Linked DNA regions of Callithrix jacchus. The protein of the gene in region 1 purifies or fractionates together with the protein of each later gene. This does not show direct contact. Links are inferred from orthologs where the notes say so. Each region holds a gene or a part of one and is shown in the gene's direction. Other genes may lie near its edges. The genes, in order: SMARCD1, BCL7B, BICRA, BCL7A and SS18.

Region 1 (3,517 bases):
TGGTTTAATACCTGCAGAAGCCTACCTGTCTCTCCTAAGAGATATTCAGAAGATATTTTTGAGTTTTTTCCCATTGCTGTTGGGGTTCCTTTTTCATAGGATTTTGTCTTGGGAAGTTTCTTCTGGCCGTTTCTAACATGATTTTTCTTTTTTCTCCTCTAGTCAGCCTTGTCCAAATATGATGCCACTAAACAAAAGAGGAAGTTCTCTTCTTTTTTTAAGTCCTTGGTGATTGAACTGGACAAAGACCTGTATGGGCCAGACAACCATCTGGTAGAAGTGAGTAGTCTGCCTTCTAGGCTTTGACTCTGATTGAAGGATGAGATGGACTTGGGAGCCATATTTGAATGTCTAAGAAGGGGAGATAGAAAGTAGTCACTCTGGGTGTACACAGTACTACTCCAGGTATACGGTTTGCACATTGACCTCTAGGTGGCACTAGCATGTTTAGTTAGGACCAAGGGCTCTTGTAATCTAACTCGTCTCATCTTTTAATGTTACTATGCTGGTCACTGCGGCCTCTTTCAAGGGAAATTTTACTGGTGGCCTCTTGTACATGCCAGGCCATCTCTGCATCTTGCTTGCTAATGATGGTGAGACGTAGTTATCCATGCACCAATCATACTTTTTCCTGGTAGCAGTTGCTGTAATTAGAGGGATTGACTGATAGGGTACTAGTACTTGCCAGGGTCACCATCAGGAACTTCCTCTTGGTCTCTGCTCCATTTAGATTTACATTCCAATTCACCAAAAATCCTTTATTAAGATGCCTGATTGCACGCCGTTTTGAAGCCCATGTTAGCAACAGTATTCTTTGGGATACAGGCAAAACCAAATGATAGTCCAGCCAGCACTCCAAGTGAATTTAACCTGCTCCTTTCTTTGCCAGTGTAGCTGCAGCCCCTTAACCTCAACCACTAAGAGACATGGAAAGGTCTTTACCACCTAATAAGGGAAGTAAGTCATAGAATCAATAGAAATTTGTAAATATATTTAACTTAATTTTATAGCAATAGAGTATAGTGGTTAAGAATGTGGACTGTAGAATCAGACACACCAGAGCTCAGATCGCAGCTCCACCACTTACTGGCTGTTTGACCTAAGCAGGTTACTTTGTTCTGCTGAACATTAGTTTTCTCATCTGTAAAACAGGCATAAGTGTGCCTATCTTGTATAGATGTTTGGAAAGTGATAATCCAGGTAAATGTCTTAGAATATTCTTGCACAGGTACTCAGTAAATGATAGCTATGTTATGTTACTGTTCACATCTGTATTAGCCATTTTGTGGATAAAATTATCACTGGACATTCAGGCTTAATTGAATGTAACCACAAACAGAATTAAAAGGTTAATCTACTTATACACAGACAGTAATCCCAAAGCCATATGCAGTTTTTAAAAATGCCTCATGCTATTGCTATTACTCTTCTCCAGTAGCCTCAATAATCAAAGTTGAATATTCAGTCATTACAGAAGCTCTTCCCTCCCACCCCAGCTCTTCCTCTGGGAGAGCACCCCCTGACATCTTCCTCTCTGTAGTGGCACAGGACCGCCACTACCCAGGAGACCGACGGCTTTCAGGTGAAGCGACCGGGAGATGTGAATGTACGGTGTACTGTCCTACTGATGCTGGATTACCAGGTATTCTGTGGTGGTGTGAGGGGGTCCAGCTTTCACAGCCACATCCAGTCAGCAGTCTCCCCTTAAAGGGTTTACGTCTAATTGTGAATAATTTGTCACTTTGGCATAGAGATAAGAGTCTTAGTGATCTCTGAGTTCTTCCTAGAATGTTTCTGTCCCAGAGAAATCTCTACATTGTTTGTTGAATGGCTTGAATGTATTACTGCATATAGACCCAGCTAACTGGCTTCATATACCCTTTGGTTCCCTGCAGCCTCCCCAGTTTAAATTAGACCCCCGCCTAGCTCGGCTTCTGGGCATCCACACCCAGACTCGTCCAGTGATCATCCAAGCACTGTGGCAATATATTAAGACACATAAGCTCCAGGATCCTCATGAGCGGGAGTTTGTCATCTGTGACAAGTACCTGCAGCAGGTAAGTAATGGACACATTGCTTTGCTAGAATCCATTAAGACTACTAGTTATACTCAAAATGCTAACCTCAGGTGCTTCTGCCCTTTGCTACAGATCTTTGAGTCTCAACGTATGAAGTTTTCAGAGATCCCTCAGCGGCTCCATGCCTTGCTTATGCCACCAGAGCCTATCATCATTAATCATGTCATCAGGTAGGCCTGTGTGTGAGATGCAGTGCTGTGCTGGAGCTGCCTTCTACCGACTTGCACAAGCCAGTTGTCAAATTTTCAGGAATTTTGCAAACAGGTTGTTAAACAAAGCTGTTATTTACAATTAAATTATATAAACTTATAATTAAATATATTAGACTAAAAGTGGGTAACATAAACTCAAAATGTATTACTTCCTCATTATTACATTTTATTATATTTATGCTCTTGAGGTTATTTTTGCCTATTGTATTTGCTTGTTATATTTGCCTATTTTTATCTGGTGGAAATATGATATAATGTGTTTATCTGTTACTGCACATCTCTTCCCAACTCTGAACAGTAATGTGATGTTGGTAGCTTGAAATCAGAATATTTAAGCTCCGGAGATCAGCAGATGCCACACACCTGGGCTCTTCCTCCTGTCCTCCTTTGGAAGATCAGTTGTTAAGCATTTACCAGGTCTTCACTGACAGAAGGGCTCAGGGCCCATCTTTTCTCTGGGTGGTTCAGCATTCAAGTCTGAGCCTCCAATTACATTACTTCTATTCACTTTTTTGTTTAGAAGATGGAGAGCAAGGCACTTCTAGGCAGATAGGGAGTGAAAAAAAGTCGTTTCTTCTCAAAGCAGTGTGTCTCTGTAGTTGGATATAGTCTCCTTGCCTTCCTTTCTTTACTCAGTTTTAATTCCAGTAAGGGGTTTTTTTTTTCTTTTGACCCTGAACCTACAAGATGATAGAGAGGAAGATTTAAAAAAGAAGATAAGGCCCTGAACCATCACTAGTAGTAACTCCTCAACCTATAAATTAGGTCAGTAGAAGTTGGTCTGTCCTGTATTCCTGTGCTTAAAGTTAGACCACTTAAATTTTGTTTGACTTTCATTCTGGGGTCAATTTTAGTATAAAAAGGAGGAAGCCAGGCACAGTAACATGTTCCTTGTAGACCCAGCTACTCCAGAGGCTGAGGTGGGTGGATTGCTTGAGCCCCAGAGTTTGAATCCAGCCTGGGCAACGTAGCAAAATCCTGTCTCTGAAACAATGAAACAGGTTTGTTTGTTTAAACATAAAGACTCTCACTCTGTCACCCAGGCTGGAGTGCAGTGACACGATCTCGGCTCACTGCAACCGCTGCCTCTTAGGTACAAGCGATTCTCGTGCAAGTAGTTGTAATTATAGGCATGTGCCACCATGCTGGCTAATTTTGTATTTCTAGTAGAGATGGGGTTTCACCATGTTAGCCACGCTGGTCTTGAACTCCTGGCCTTGAGTGATC
Region 2 (3,517 bases), on another chromosome or scaffold:
CCTCCCTTCCGTAAGTTTTAATCGGTGGATAATAAAGAAGGGTTTAATAAGCATCGCCTGACCTTCTTGAAGTGTAATATTGCAGAAACGTAAAGATTCTGGCTGCCTCTGGTGTTTAGACTGTATGTCGTGTAGGCTGGGCACAGTGATTACTGTGCTCACCTGTATCCTTGGCTGCCTAAAGTGGTGCCAGGTCCATGGCTCTGTCCAGAGTTCCTCTTGAGGAAAATGGCCACTTTCAGCTGCTGCCTTTGTTCTGTTCGGTTTTCAGATGAAAACAGCAACCAGAGTTCTGTGTCTGACGCCTACCAGCTCAAGGTGGACAGCAGCACCAACTCAAGCCCCAGCCCGCAGCAGAGTGAGTCCCTGAGCCCGGCACACACGTCCGACTTCCGCACAGACGACTCCCAGCCCCCAACCCTGGGTCAGGAGATCCTGGAGGGTGAGTCGCGATTGGCCCGGAGTGTCCTAGCAGGGCTCTGCTCCTGCTCCTGCTGCTTCTCATCTTCAGAGGACAAGGTCCGAGAGAACGCCTTAGAGCCAGGCGGCATCAAGCCGTTTCTCCACAGCTTGGGATACTTTGAGGAGTGACTCTATTTCACCCTTTCGCAGAGTGAAGGGAGAAAAGAAGCATTGGAGTTGAGTGCCAGGCTCTGTGAAAGGAGCTTGAGTACCTGACGCCTGGTATAGTTCCCTCAAAAGTCTGCACGGTGGCAGCTACTGTCTTCTTTTACAGATGAGGGAAAATGGAGGTTCAAGGCTTAGAAAGGTTCAGTCAGGCCAGGCACGGTGGCTCACACTTGTAATCTCAGCACTTTGGGAGGCCGAGGTGGGTGGGTCACTTGAAGCCAAGAGTTCAAGACCAGCCTGGCCAAGATGGCAAAACCCTATCTCTACTAAAAATATAAAAAATTTAGCCAGGCATGGTGGCGTATGCCTGTAATCCCAGCTACTGTGGAGGCGAAGGCAGAAGAATCGCTTGAACATGAGACAGAGGTTGCAGTGAGCTGAGATCAGACCAGTGCACTCCAACCTGGGCAACAGAGTGAGACTGTCTCCAAAAAAAAAAAAAAAAAAAAGTTAAATTGCTTGTCTAAGATCATCACGTAGCTAGTCTAGTAACTGTTGGAATGAATGTCACTTTATTTTTTTTTAACCTTTTTTTTTTTAAAGATGGGGTTTCAGCATGATGGCCAGGCTGGTCTTGAACTCCTGACCTCAGGTGATCCACCCACCTCGGCCTCCCAAAGTGCTAGGATTACAGGTGTGAGCTACTGCGCCCGGCCCTGGAATGAATGTCACTTTAAGTCCTTCTAACTTCAATTCATGCTGTCTTCATTATATCCTGCTAATTTTTTTTCCCTTTCCTTTTGTTTTTTGTAAAGACATAAGGTCTTACTCTATTGCCCAGGCTAGAATGCAGTGGCTGAATCCTAGCTCGCTGCAGTCTTGAACTTTTGGGGTCAAGTGATCCTCCTGCCTCAGACTCATAGGCCTGTGCCACCATGCCTGGGTATCTTTTAATTTTTTGTAGAAATGGGGTCTCACTCTGTTGCCTAGTCTGGTCTTGAACTCCTGGGTTCAAGCGATCCTCCCACCTCAACCTCCAGAGTAGCTGGAGCTTCTCTGGCGTGAGCAACCACGCCTGACCCAGGTTTCTTGTTAGAATGTGGGTAAGTAGATGTGTCTTAGGCCCTTGTTAACTTCTCCTGTGCTGTGACCTTTGAACAGCCGACTATAAAATGGAACTTGTTTCTCCATGGGAAGTGCCAATTGTCGTGAATATTGCGTTTCTGCTATTCAGCACGCGCTCTTCTTAGCTCCTGTGTTTATTACTTCATCGAGTCATCATAGCAGCTCTCGGAAAAGTGGGAGATTGAGTTAGAGTCTTGATGTTTGGGCTGAAGGATGACAAGATGAGCTGCTTTGTTGGTTCCAGATGTCTCCAGCCCAGTAGAGAGGGCCCTCTGCAGTCTAGCCATATTTTGCCCTTCCACCATTCATGGCTGTGGCCTGGTCCAGCCGGGCCCTGAGTGAATGTTCGCTTCCCAGGCCAGTGTTCTCTCCTCCCCACCAAGCCACTTCCACACCGCTCTAAGGAAGCTCCCCCAGGTCCAGGCCTTAGGGGGGCTCTGCCCTCGGGCTGACCCTGCTGCCTTTTCAGAGCCCTCCCTGCCCTCCTCGGAAGTTGCTGACGAACCTCCCACCCTCACCAAGGAAGAACCAGTTCCACTAGAGACACAGGTAAGCAGTCACTCGGCGCTTTCCAGTTGTGTGTGTGTGTGTGTTTTTTAAGACGGGGTTTTACCATGTTGGGCAGGCTGGGGTCTTGAACTCTTGACCTCAGGTGATCTGCCTGGCTTGGCCTCCAAAGTGCTTGGATTACAGGCATGAGCCACCACACCCGGCCGAGTTTTTCGGTTTTTTTGTTTGTTTGTTTCTTTGAGACGGGATTGCCCAGGCTGGAGTATAGTGGTGTGATCTTGGCTCACTGCAGTCTCCACCTCCTGGCTTCAATTGATTCTCCTGCCTCAGCCTCCCGAATAGCTGGAATTACAGGTGCCTGCAACCACACCTGGCTAATTTTTGTATTTTTAGTAGAGATGGGGTTTCACATGTTAGCCAGGGTGGTCTCCTGAGCTCAAGTGATCTGCCTGCCTCAGCCTCTCAAAGTGCTGGGATTACAGGCATGAGCCACTGTGCCCAGCCAGGCTTCCCAGTTCCTAAGACAAAAAACAGGAAAGACTGTGGATGTGGGATTGTATCTGCAGTGCTGGAAACTGGAGTCCCAGGATTGCAGGCAGGGGAGGAAGATGGATCATTTGTGAGAAGGAGCAGGTTGGGCATCCTATTATAATTCAGGTGGGTGGTAAGGCTCTGGTTGGGAGGGGTGGCTCTGTCATTATTCCATGCTCTGCCTTCTTCTAGGTCGCCGAAGAGGAGGAAGACTCAGGTGCCCCACCCCTGAAGCGCTTCTGTGTGGACCAACCCACAGTGCCGCAGACGGCGTCAGAAAGCTAGCACCGTCACAGCCCTCCGCCTCCTGGCCCTGCCTCTATTTATTGCATTCTGGTTCTGGCTGCGCTGTGTTGCTGGGGAAAGGGCAAGCACTGGGGTCGAGAGCCTGCACACATGAGCCTTCCGGGCTGGAAGGCTGGCATAGGATTTGGGGCTGTCACGTCATCTTCCCGTCCCTTGCACCTGTGTCTTCTTGCTCCCGAGAAGAGGAGCACTCACATCTTTTGCACCCCAAGTTGGCTGGAGCATTGGCCACCCCAGGATTCATCTGTCACCTCCAGGCAGCAGTCTCTGCTCCAGAACCTCTGGACTGAGCTGCTGGCAGCTTCCTTGAGAAGAGAGATGTGGAAGGCGCCCTCCAGAAGAGAGAGTGCCTAGGGTTACTTGAACTTGAATGAAGACTGTGGACTCCTGGACTTTCCCCTAGGGCTGGGGGCCCTGTAGGCTGCTGCTGGAGGAGGACTGTGTAGAGACGTTGGAGCGAAGGGAAGGGCTCTTC
Region 3 (3,517 bases), on another chromosome or scaffold:
CTAGTGTGCGTTTTGCTGTGCATTTCTCTTATTTCAAGTAGGTTGAGCAGCTCTGAAAATACTTAAGCCTTCTGTGTTTCCTTTTCTGTGCACTGTCTGGTCATATTTTTTGCCCCTTTTTCTCACCTGTTGTAATTCTTAGTGATTTCTAGAGGCTCTTTATATATGAGAGAGGTTAACTTTGTGCCAGGAGTTGCAAGTATTTTCCCCAGCAAGTCATTTGGCGTATGACTTAAGTTGTGGGGGGTGTGTGTGTGTGTGTGTGTGTGCACTTTTAATGAGAATGAGATTAAAATTTTTTAATGTTTTAGCATCTTTAAGCTTTTTATATTTAAATGACTTCAAATACATAAAAAGTTTCAGGACTAGTACAAAGAGCTCACGGGAGTTCTTTACTCCTTAACAAGACGTGTTACTTATCTATTGCTATGCAGTAAATTACCCCCAAACTCAGCAGCTTAAAACAGCAGGCATTCACCTATCTCACACGGTCTCCAAGCATCAGGAAGCCGGAAGTTAGGAGGTTCTAGCTCTGGATCTTCCATGAGGTTATAGTCATGATGTCAGCTGGGGCTGTGGTCCTCTGAAGGTCCCACTGATCCCACACTCACTTGTGTGGCTGTTGTCAGGAGGCCTCAGTTATACCCTATGAGGGCTCTCCAAGGGGAAGCACATGACATGGAGAGGTTGGCTTCCTGCAAAGTGAGTGACCCAATAGAAACAGATGAGAAGGATCAGGATGGGAGCTGCAGGCTTTTTATAACTAATCTTGGAGGTGTCATGTGATCACTTCCACCAAATTTTGTTGGCTGCAAAGACCAGCAGTGGGAGGGGATTGAATACAGGGAGGTGGGGATTGGTGGTGGCTGCCGCACACACGTACCCATGGTCAGCCTTTTGCTGCATTTGCCTTGACCTTAGTGCCCTTGTTCTGTGTACATTTTTGTCTGAATCAGTTGAGAGTAAGTTGCAGTCATCATAACCATTTGCCCCTTAAATCTGTTCATTTATTTTTGAGTGAGTCTTGCTCTGTCACCCAGGGTGGAGTGCAGTGGTACAATCTTGGCTCACTGTAATCTCTGCCTCCTGGGTTCAAGAAATTCTCCTGTCTCAGCCTCCAGAGTAGCTGGGATTATAGGTGCCCACCACCATGCCTAGCTAATTTTGGGGTTTTTAGTAGAGATAAGGTTTTACCATGTTTACCAGGTTGGTCTTGAACTCCTGGGCTCCAGTGAGCCTCTGTGGCCAGCCTACCCCTGTTTTAGTGAATATTTCAGCCCTTGAGAACAAGGACATTCTCTTGACCATCATGCAGTGAAGAAATAAAGTAGACAGCATAGACACGGGACTGTTGTGAAATCCACTGTCCATAAACCGATTTAGCTAGTTGCCCAGGGATCCTGTAATGTATTCCTGTCGGTTTTCACGTAGTATCAGAGTGCCGCTATGTGCGGGACACCCCCTGAGCCCTTAGAACCTGTCGAGTGGGCCAGCTCTCTTCCCCTGCTCACTCAGCGACGCACCTGCCATTGGTCATCTGAGTCATTTCCCCTTTTCCTCTATTGTAAATACTCCCACAGTGGGTATCTCCATGAGTGAGTACTTCAATACTCTTTATCACAGATTCCTGGAGGGGGAATTTCCAGGTCACAGTCCTGACCCTGTCAAGAGTCCCCAGACCAAGCTGCCTCCCAGCGGGACTGTCCAGGGGGCATCCCAACCAGCTGCACACAGAGCCAGGGGCTGCCCCTCTGATCCCTTCTTAGAGGTGGCAAACCGTTCAGATGTCTGGATTGATTGATTGATTGGGTCGGTTTGGTTCTTTAATTGCCAGAAGTTACTCAGGGCCCAGCTTGGAAGGGATGCTGGAAGGGCCCTAGGACTTAGAGGCCGAAGCTGGTGGTGAGTCTGATGTCATGCTGAGATCCCTAGCTTTGGAGTGTGGGGATGCTGGCTGTCCTGGCCGGGTCCCCAGAGCCCTCTGAGCCTGGGCTCCGTCAGCTTTGAGAAACCACTCAGAAGTCACTGAGTTGTGTAAAGGCTTCAGTTCCACCTTCCCCTGCCTGGAGGGTCTGGACCAGTTTTGGCTCCTTGGCCTCAGTGTCTCATCTGTGAAATGGGTCCAATGTTGCCACTGCTCTCAGGGCTAGGGAGAGATCACACAAATGGGTGTGAGAGGCCAGCCATCCGTGTTAGATCAGCATGAGCTGTTACTAGGGTGTAGATTCTGTGACAGTAAGCGTCGCAGTGCCAGCCCAGTGTTGGGTACAGAGCTGGTGCCCACTGGCTACACAGCAGCTGCTCTGGTTATGATTTTTTGGAGGAGGGTTCAGAGGAGCAAGGTGCTCTGTCTCAGACAAGCTTCAGGCAAGGTGGGTGTGCGTGTGTGGTGGAAGTAACCCCAGATCGCGTGAGCTTGCAGGCACAGGCTTCGGCAGAGTCTGGTGCATCGCGCACAGGCACGCACGCCTGTACTTGCAAGCTCATGTGGTGGCCGGGTAGGCCTGTAGCCATGGCCATACGCACACAGAGGCGGGGGCCCAGGACATATAGAAGGGGGCCCAGGCCTTCCCGTGCCGTGTCCAGAGGTCCACACATGGCTGTGAACCCAGGCCTGGCCCTGTCCCCTCAGTGGCCATCTGTATCCTTGGCAGCCCCCATTCTGTGGCCATCAGCCCTGAGCCACGGTACACAGCATCACGCTGGTGTCTCTCTGCCTTGACTTGGCTGGAGGGGCGGGCGGGGGCTGGCAGCTGGGATGCTGCCCCGCCTGCCCTCCTTCCCCGCTGCTGTGCTCGCCGCCGCCCGCCTGGCCCTCCTGCCTCCTGCTGGGCAGCGGGTATGGTGCCCCTGCTGCCGCCGCCACGCTGCCTCTGCTTCCTCCGCTGCTGCCACCCCAACCCCGCAGGGCTCGCCTTCGTCCGGGGAACTGCTGGGGTGGGGGAGGAATGGGGCAGACAAGGAGGGTGAGATCCGAGGCCAGAGAAATGTGGAGGAGCTGGGTTGCGGGACAGAGATGGGGGCAGGTGGGGTGCACCATGGGGTGAGAGAGGGAGGGAAGGGCAGCCGTAATGGGGCCCCCCTCTCAGGACGGGGTGGGCTAGGAAGGGGGCTTCTGGTGGGGATGGCTGGGGTGCCCAGTGTCTTGGGGCAGTGGGAACCATGGTTGGTTCTGACCCTTGCGCCTCCCCTCTCCCTCCCTCCCCTGCCCAGATCCCAGCAGCGGCTCCACTGAAGGGCCCAGGCCCCTCTTCGTCCCCGTCACTACCTCACCAGGCCCCTCTGGGGGACAGCCCCCACCTACCCTCCCCACACCCTGCTCGGCCCCCTTCCCGTCCACCCTCCCGGCCCCAGAGCGTGTCCCGCCCTCCCTCGGAGCCAGCCCTGCACCCTTGCCCTCCACCCCAGGCCCCCCCCACTCTGCCTGGCATCTTTGTCATCCAGAACCAGCTGGGCGTTCCCCCACCTGCTAGCAACTCGGCCCCTACTGCTCCAGGTCCACCCCAGCCACCTCTCC
Region 4 (3,517 bases), about 56 Mb from region 1:
GAGGGAGGAGAATTTCTTGAAACTGGGAGGAGGAGGTTGCAGTGAGCCAAGATTGCACCACTGTACTCCAGACTGGGCGAGAGAGCGAGGATGTGTTTAAAAAAAAAAAAAAAAATCCAGGTTTGTGGCCTGGACAAACTCTCCAGAAAAATCTAGACTGCTGAACAAACCAGGTCCCCAACATAGGTCCCTGTCCACTTTCTCATTTCCATTTTAGTGCATGTACAGCTGAAACCAAATCAGACAGCAGAGCATGTGACTGGGAAGGTCAGGGAAAGGTGTGGGCCGGCCAGGTTTTCTGGAAGGCTTCAAGTGGGAGGATATGTATAGCAGGAGGTGAAGGGAGAGGGTGGTGCCTTGGGCCCTTTGGTCCACAAGACCTTAACTCCAGCTAACTCAGCTGGAGTTAGCCCAAGTATTGGGGTCACACCGTTACCAGGCTACCAGCCTAGGCCCAGACGTTAAACATTAGTGCTTATTGTCATTAATTAACACAACCTCAGGAGCCTATGGGGCCAGCATCTTGCTCGAGTGCTGGCAGTAGGAAGGTAGTTCAGATTTTCTCAGAGGAGAAATTGGGGAGCACACATCCTTTTTAAGTTCTAGAATTCACAAGAGGATGCTTTTGTATAATGCGCACCCAAGTCCAGTTAAACTCAGGTCCAAGTTACCCGGGTGGGGCTGCCTGACTGCCTGGCTCTCTTCGGCAGGTTGAGGTAGAGGAGAGGCATGGGGCTGGGAGCTGGGCAGATGGGTCCGGCTAGTGGCTCTCCTGCTCCCAGCCTCGGTTTCCCCCTCTGGAAAGTGAAGGCGGTAATGGCGCCTCTCCAGTGGGTTGCTGGGAGGATTAGACGAGGTGACCACAAATGCTTTTCCCAGTGCCTCGCATATGGCAGGCACCCGGGTCTGTTGGGGTGTCTCTGTCTCTTTCTCATTCTGACAAAAGCGGTCGTCGCCCCAGGTGCAGCATGGCCCTTTATGATGCAAAGGCTGCTTCCTATTGCATCAGCTTTGAAACTTCCACTTGGGTCTCTGCTGTTTGAAATGACTCTCCTAGGTCTGGCATAGTGGCTCAGGCCTATGATCTCAGTGCTTTGGGAGGCCACGACAGGAGGATCACTTGAGCCCAGGGGTCCAAGACCAGCCTGGCAACATAGTGAGACCCCCATCTCTACAAAAAATTTAAAAATTAGCCAGAGACAGCGGCACATGCCTGTGGCCCCAGCTACTCAGGAGGCAGAGGCGGGAGGATGGCTTGTGCCTGAGAGTTCGAGGCTGCTCTGAGCTCTGATTGTGCTGCTGCACTCCAGCATGTGCGACACAGCAAGACCCTGTCTCTAAAATAAAAAGTACATAAATGGCTGGGCGTGCTGGCTCATGCCTGTCATCTCAGGACTTTGGGAGGTCAGGGCAGGCAGATCACCTGAGGTCAGGAGTTCGAGAGCAGTCTGGTCAATGTAGTGAAACCTTGTCTCTACCAAAAATAACAAAAATTAACCGGGCATGGTGGTGTGTGCCTATAATCAGAGCTACCTGGAAGGCTGAGGCATGAGAATTGCTTGAACTCAGGAGGCGGAGATTATAGTGAGCCGAGATTATGCCACTGCACTCCAGCCTGGGTGACAGTGAGATTCCATCTCAGAAAAATAGAGTGACTCTCTGTGCCTGAGAACAGGGTACAGGACAAGGGCAGGTGCACCCCAGGCCCCAGCTCTCCCCCCAGCCCGACTGTGAATGCCATTGCTCAGTTACCCCTTCCTCTTCTTCTTTGTGTTGTGAAGGGTTTTGTTGTCACGAACAGTAGAGAGAGGAATACGATTCCCCTATACCCTCCACCCTGATTTTCATGAACACATGCCGTATTTGCCTCACCAATTTTTTCAGTGTGTCGAATGTTTTAATTAAAAGATAATTCACAGTGGCTCAAGCCTGTAATCCTAGCACTTTGGGAGGCCGAGGCGGGTGGATCACGAGGTCAAGAAATCGAGACCATCCTGGTCAACATGGTGAAACCCCGTCTCTACTAAAAATACAAAAACTTAGCTGTGCCTGGTGGCACGTGCCTGTAATCCCAGCTACTCAGGAGCCTGAGGCAGGAGAATTGCCTGAACCCAGGAGGCAGAGGTTGCGGTGAGCCGAGATTGTGCCATTGCACTCCAGCCTGGGTAACAAGAGCAAAACCCCGTCTCAAAAAAAAAAAAAGATAATTCACATATTAAAATACACTACTAGTCGCTGGGTGCAGTGGTTCACACCTGTAATCCCAGTACTTTGGGAGGCCAAGGCAGGCAGATCACCTGAGGTCAAGAATTTGAGACCAGCCCGGAACGTGGTGAAACCCATCTCTACTAAAAATAGAAAAATCAGCCAGGTGTGGTGGCAGGCACCTGTAAATCTACTTGGGAGCCTGAAGCAGGAGAATTGCTTGAACCCGGGAGGCAGAGGTTGCAGTGAGCCCAGATTGCGCCATTGCACTCCAGTCTGGGTGACAGAGCAAGACTGTCTCAAAAAGTAAAGGTTCAAGGTGTCCTGGAAGTAGCATGTAGCTTGCATGGAAGCATTTTCTGGTAAATTTCCCTGCCTCATGACATTCAAGTCTGCAGCTATATCACAGCATACATTGCTAAAAACATGACGTTTCTGTATACCCACTGTCCCATGATCACTTCTAACAAAGTTAACACCAGTTCCTTAATAGCTTTAAAATCCAGATCGGATTCAGATTCCCCAGTTCCTAAGTGTTAAAGTTGGATCCAGATAATTCCCATACATCATGTTTAGTCGAGTCTCTTAGCTTTCTTTATTCGACGTCCATCTCCCCTCCTCTTTTTATTTTTTAATAAAAACGATACCGACTTTAAGGGAGGGGCCACATGTCCCGTGGAATGTGCTACCCTGGCTGCCTCTCGCTCCCTTTTATTTCCTATCTAGTGGAACTCAGCTCCAGCCTGGATGCGTTCATTCAGAACGTCTTGGCAGTCACGCCTCACGGACCATGCCGTGTCTTCCATATTGCTTCCCAGATACACAAGGCATCTGGTTTGTACACCCAGAATGAGGCCTCAAATGTCCCCCCAAGGTTTTAAATATGTTAGGCCACCATCCCCAGCTGGCTGCCTCCAGACACAGGGTACAGTTGGCTCAGTATGGGGAAGGTCAGGCCGGTGCCAGAATTCTTTGCCTCCCTGGACACATGGGACAGCTGTGGTGCTTGGAGGGTGTGGGGGACCTGCGGGGTCAGCTCAGGGGTCCCAGGAGGAGGAGTATCCAGACCCCTCCTGGATGGCTAGGCGAGATGGCTTACGGCTATAGTTCCAGCACTTTTGGAGACCAAGGTGGGTGGATCACCTGAGGTCAGAAGTTCGAGACCAGCCTGGCCAAAATGGTAAAACCCCATCTCTATTAAAAATACAAAATTAGCCAGGTGTGTTGGTGAGTGCCTGTAATCCCAGCTACTTGGGAGGCTGAGGCCAGAGAATCACTTGAACCCAGGAGGCAGAGGTTGTAGTGAGCCAAG
Region 5 (3,517 bases), on another chromosome or scaffold:
AATAAATATATAGATTAGGAATTGGCAAACTTTTTCTTTAAAGGGCCAGATAATAAATACTTTAGTCTTTGTGGGTCATATGGTCTTCGTCTCAATTACTGAACTCTTACTGTAGCATGAAAGCAGCTTTGGACTCTACTGAAATGAAAGGGCATGACTGTATTCCAATAAAACTTTATTTACAAAAACATGCCACTGGCCACAGTAAGACTGCAGGCCATAGTTTGCCAACCCTTGATGTAGGTATTTATGAGGTGGCATGGGAACATTAGAATACTAGAGCACCGTGTATAATGTTTATTTGTAACTTTATTCCTATGTTCTTAATTAGGCATTTTTGTAAAATAGAGTTCAGATTTTGGGTAACTAAAAGGTTATTTCCTACATTTTCTTAGTGAAACTTAAAGAGTGAGAGTATTATTTTTCATTAGAGTCCAGTTGTCTCGCAGGTAAAATTTATTGTGCTTTAAAATTTAAGATATATTCTCATACTCAACACAATTTTAATTTTATGAAGATGGATATTTATGATACTTGAAATATTTTCTAAAAATTTCCAAAATGGCAGTATTAAGATACATAATTTTCCATCTGAAGATATTTTGAGATACTTAACTTTATGCAAGTAAATGTTAGAATGTGAAATAATGGGAAAAACTTACAGAACTCTTTTAAATTTTGCAGTTTTTAGCATATGCTGTGGAATTGGAGACCAGCAGAACAGGTGTTTGACAAAATAGGATAATTGCCTCCTTTGTTCATTCTAATTTAATTTAGGTTATTTACATGTGAAAGACCTAGATACTTTTATTCTCTTTTTTTTTTTTAATTAATGGGAGATAAAGGTTTTTTTTCCCCTCAATGAGGATTATCAGATTTAAGACAATAAGTGTAATGTTTCTAAAACTACTGCTTTTTGCCTTTAAAACAATTTGCACGTTATCTCAATATGAAAACAATCACATTGGTAAATCTTTGGCTAATGCAATTGAAATAATTTTTTATGTTCCATTTCTTTTTCTTTTTTTTCAATTTTATCTGAAAGTTTAAATATTTTTAGGGTTTTCACTCAGTGGCCATTAACGTTTCTTCCTGTCTCTTGTCGAATTGATGTAGGTCATAATGATTACGGTTATCAGCAACCGTCGTATCCTGAACAAGGCTACGATAGGCCTTATGAGGATTCCTCACAACATTACTACGAAGGAGGTATCTATATACCTTCACACACATACACATATATCCCCTTCTACAGGAATGAAAATTCTTGCATAAGACAACTTCTACCCATGCAAAGCTCTTGTAGAATATTAGTTGCTGGCTGTCTTGAAAGTTACAGGGAGCCCAAAACAATCAAAATAATTTCCTTACAAATATTTAAAATGTATAACCATGACTTGCCATTTCTAACAATAATAAAAAGACTAAAACATTAAAGATAATTTTTTCCTCGGTGGAAATTTTCTATTTGAACATAAATCCATCAGTCCAACTTTTTTTTCTCGTGTATGTTTACATATGTATAATTTTACATATAAGTATAGTGCCTTTAGGAAACAGCTTGCTGATCTCGTGTAGCTAGTGTGTGCTCTTGTAGCTGTCTTTAATTTTGTCTTTTTTATTTTATTTAGCATAGTCATGATCTTATGACTGTGATGTTCCAGTAAATGTAATGCTCGTATGGCAGAGACGCTGAAAATGCTGCAGTTCAACCTTGCAAAATTGGCTTTAACTGCAGTTTGTTTGACCGATATCCTTCTGTTTGGTTTGAGTTTTTTCTTTGTTTTGTTAACTTCTAAAAATCAATATGGCATTTCATTTTGTTCTTGTGTTGTTGGCTATGCATCTTAGAGGGAAAAAAGTTAATTAAGCAAACTTCTCAGTTTTTTTCTTCTTCTCCAATTACCCTTTAGGAAATTCACAGTATGGCCAACAGCAGGATGCATACCAGGGACCACCTCCACAACAGGGATATCCACCCCAGCAGCAGCAGTACCCAGGGCAGCAGGGTTACCCAGGACAGCAGCAGGGCTATGGTAAAGCTTTGTACAGTTTATTTTTATCACCAAAAAATGTGGTGATGATTGTTTTAAAATGTGGAAGTGGGTATTTAATATTTAGTACTTATTTTTCCAATAATTACTACTTGAAAATTCAGTTTTAGCCTAGTCTGCTATTAAAATGGTGGTTTAAAATGTTGCTGTTAGATAAACTGGTAACCTTTTTAAAAAGAACTACAAACCAGAGATGGTTCATTGACCAAAGATAAGGTGTGAAGTCATTTAAAAGAAGAAAAATGAATTCTTAGATCTATTTGTCCTGCTTAACTAGTAGCCTTGTATGTGCTTGGAAAACTGATGATTGGGTAATTATTAAACATATGTGTATAATCTGAATAGCAAATTTATTTTTAAAAACTAATGGCCAACATTTTTTTTTAAACACATTGATTTTTTTTTTTTTTGAGTACAAATGAGATCTATTCAGAATGGATAAAGGAAACATTTTTGTCATTCCCTGGTTAACATAGCAATATGCATATCCATCCGGATGAATTTATTGTAGCTGTGAATCATGCAGAATTTGGGAGAAGTATAGCTGTATTTTCTTAATATATACTCATTTATAATATCTACAACCTGGATATCAGACTTTAAAATTTACTTATTAGATAGGGTGTGGGGAATGATGAGGACCTGTTATTTTAATCTTCACTCTAAGGCTACTATAACCATCTTAAATATAGCTCTATTGAAAGAAGTAGTTGCTTAAGAATACTGACTCCATCTTTTCCTAATAGGGTCTCTTTTTCACATTAGTAATATCTTATTATTTTTAGTCATTGACTTAAGCTCTGCTGTTGCTGTGGGCATCTCTGTCTACCTGTGATAGCAAATCTTAGAACTATGGTCAGACTGAAATTCTCTTGCCCCCTCAACATATGTGTTGAAACTCAATCAGATATTGGGGAGTCAGGTATTTTTCTAAAAATGGTAAGTTCTGATTTCCAAATTTTAGATGTGACTTTAGAAATATTCCATGGATTTTTTTTTCCCACGAAGGAAGTTTCTTGCCCTTCCCAGATGGCCTTTTCATTTTGTCTCTACTTAGTATTTATACTTTGAGTAAATTCAGTGTTCTGGTTTTATTGCATTTGCATGAAAACAGATGTAATGCAGCTAAATTAGGTAACTTCATTGGCTTAAGAGATATATCTTCATTGGTAAGAGAGGGTGAAATAAAGCTTAATTTTTGTATTATAGTTAAATGCTGTTTTGTTAGACGTCAGGAATTCTAAGATAAATTTCTGTTTTGTTTATCCATAGGCTTGTTGTCAAAAAAAAAACTTTATTTGTACTCAAAAAACTTTATTTCTAATGGAAATAAAGTTTTAATAATTTAATATTAATAAATAAATAACAGACTGATGGAATTCATTTAAGCTTGAAAACTTACTGTTCTCTTTTGATAGTTTTCTCTGAAGTCAGTGTTTTTATGGCAGGATTTGAATGGCTAC

The links.
Region 2: the proteins of SMARCD1 (region 1) and BCL7B purify together in Homo sapiens (affinity purification with mass spectrometry; 4 studies listed by BioGRID and IntAct, counting the BioPlex papers as one, with this or other methods). This does not show direct contact. The link is inferred for Callithrix jacchus from reciprocal best matches to the Homo sapiens genes SMARCD1 and BCL7B.
Region 3: the proteins of SMARCD1 (region 1) and BICRA purify together in Homo sapiens (affinity purification with mass spectrometry; 5 studies listed by BioGRID and IntAct, counting the BioPlex papers as one, with this or other methods). This does not show direct contact. The link is inferred for Callithrix jacchus from reciprocal best matches to the Homo sapiens genes SMARCD1 and BICRA.
Region 4: the proteins of SMARCD1 (region 1) and BCL7A purify together in Homo sapiens (affinity purification with mass spectrometry; 5 studies listed by BioGRID and IntAct, counting the BioPlex papers as one, with this or other methods). This does not show direct contact. The link is inferred for Callithrix jacchus from reciprocal best matches to the Homo sapiens genes SMARCD1 and BCL7A.
Region 5: the proteins of SMARCD1 (region 1) and SS18 purify together in Homo sapiens (affinity purification with mass spectrometry; 5 studies listed by BioGRID and IntAct, counting the BioPlex papers as one, with this or other methods). This does not show direct contact. The link is inferred for Callithrix jacchus from reciprocal best matches to the Homo sapiens genes SMARCD1 and SS18.

What each region holds. Positions count from the first base shown.
Region 1 is NC_133510.1:69,494,032-69,497,548, reverse strand, and holds part of SMARCD1 (SWI/SNF-related matrix-associated actin-dependent regulator of chromatin subfamily D member 1), read left to right. Parts: intron 1-162; coding exon 163-279; intron 280-1,540; coding exon 1,541-1,642; intron 1,643-1,895; coding exon 1,896-2,057; intron 2,058-2,150; coding exon 2,151-2,248; intron 2,249-3,517. UniProt on the Homo sapiens protein: Involved in transcriptional activation and repression of select genes by chromatin remodeling (alteration of DNA-nucleosome topology).
Region 2 is NC_133503.1:10,147,913-10,151,429, forward strand, and holds part of BCL7B (B-cell CLL/lymphoma 7 protein family member B), read left to right. Parts: intron 1-271; coding exon 272-442; intron 443-2,164; coding exon 2,165-2,244; intron 2,245-2,928; coding exon 2,929-3,021; 3' UTR 3,022-3,517. UniProt on the Homo sapiens protein: Positive regulator of apoptosis. Plays a role in the Wnt signaling pathway, negatively regulating the expression of Wnt signaling components CTNNB1 and HMGA1.
Region 3 is NC_133523.1:41,625,073-41,628,589, forward strand, and holds part of BICRA (BRD4-interacting chromatin-remodeling complex-associated protein), read left to right. Parts: intron 1-3,213; coding exon 3,214-3,517. UniProt on the Homo sapiens protein: Component of SWI/SNF chromatin remodeling subcomplex GBAF that carries out key enzymatic activities, changing chromatin structure by altering DNA-histone contacts within a nucleosome in an ATP-dependent manner.
Region 4 is NC_133510.1:125,246,052-125,249,568, forward strand, and holds part of BCL7A (B-cell CLL/lymphoma 7 protein family member A), read left to right. Parts: intron 1-2,931; coding exon 2,932-3,039; intron 3,040-3,517.
Region 5 is NC_133514.1:69,270,030-69,273,546, reverse strand, and holds part of SS18 (protein SSXT), read left to right. Parts: intron 1-1,116; coding exon 1,117-1,209; intron 1,210-1,913; coding exon 1,914-2,036; intron 2,037-3,517. UniProt on the Homo sapiens protein: Appears to function synergistically with RBM14 as a transcriptional coactivator. Isoform 1 and isoform 2 function in nuclear receptor coactivation. Isoform 1 and isoform 2 function in general transcriptional coactivation.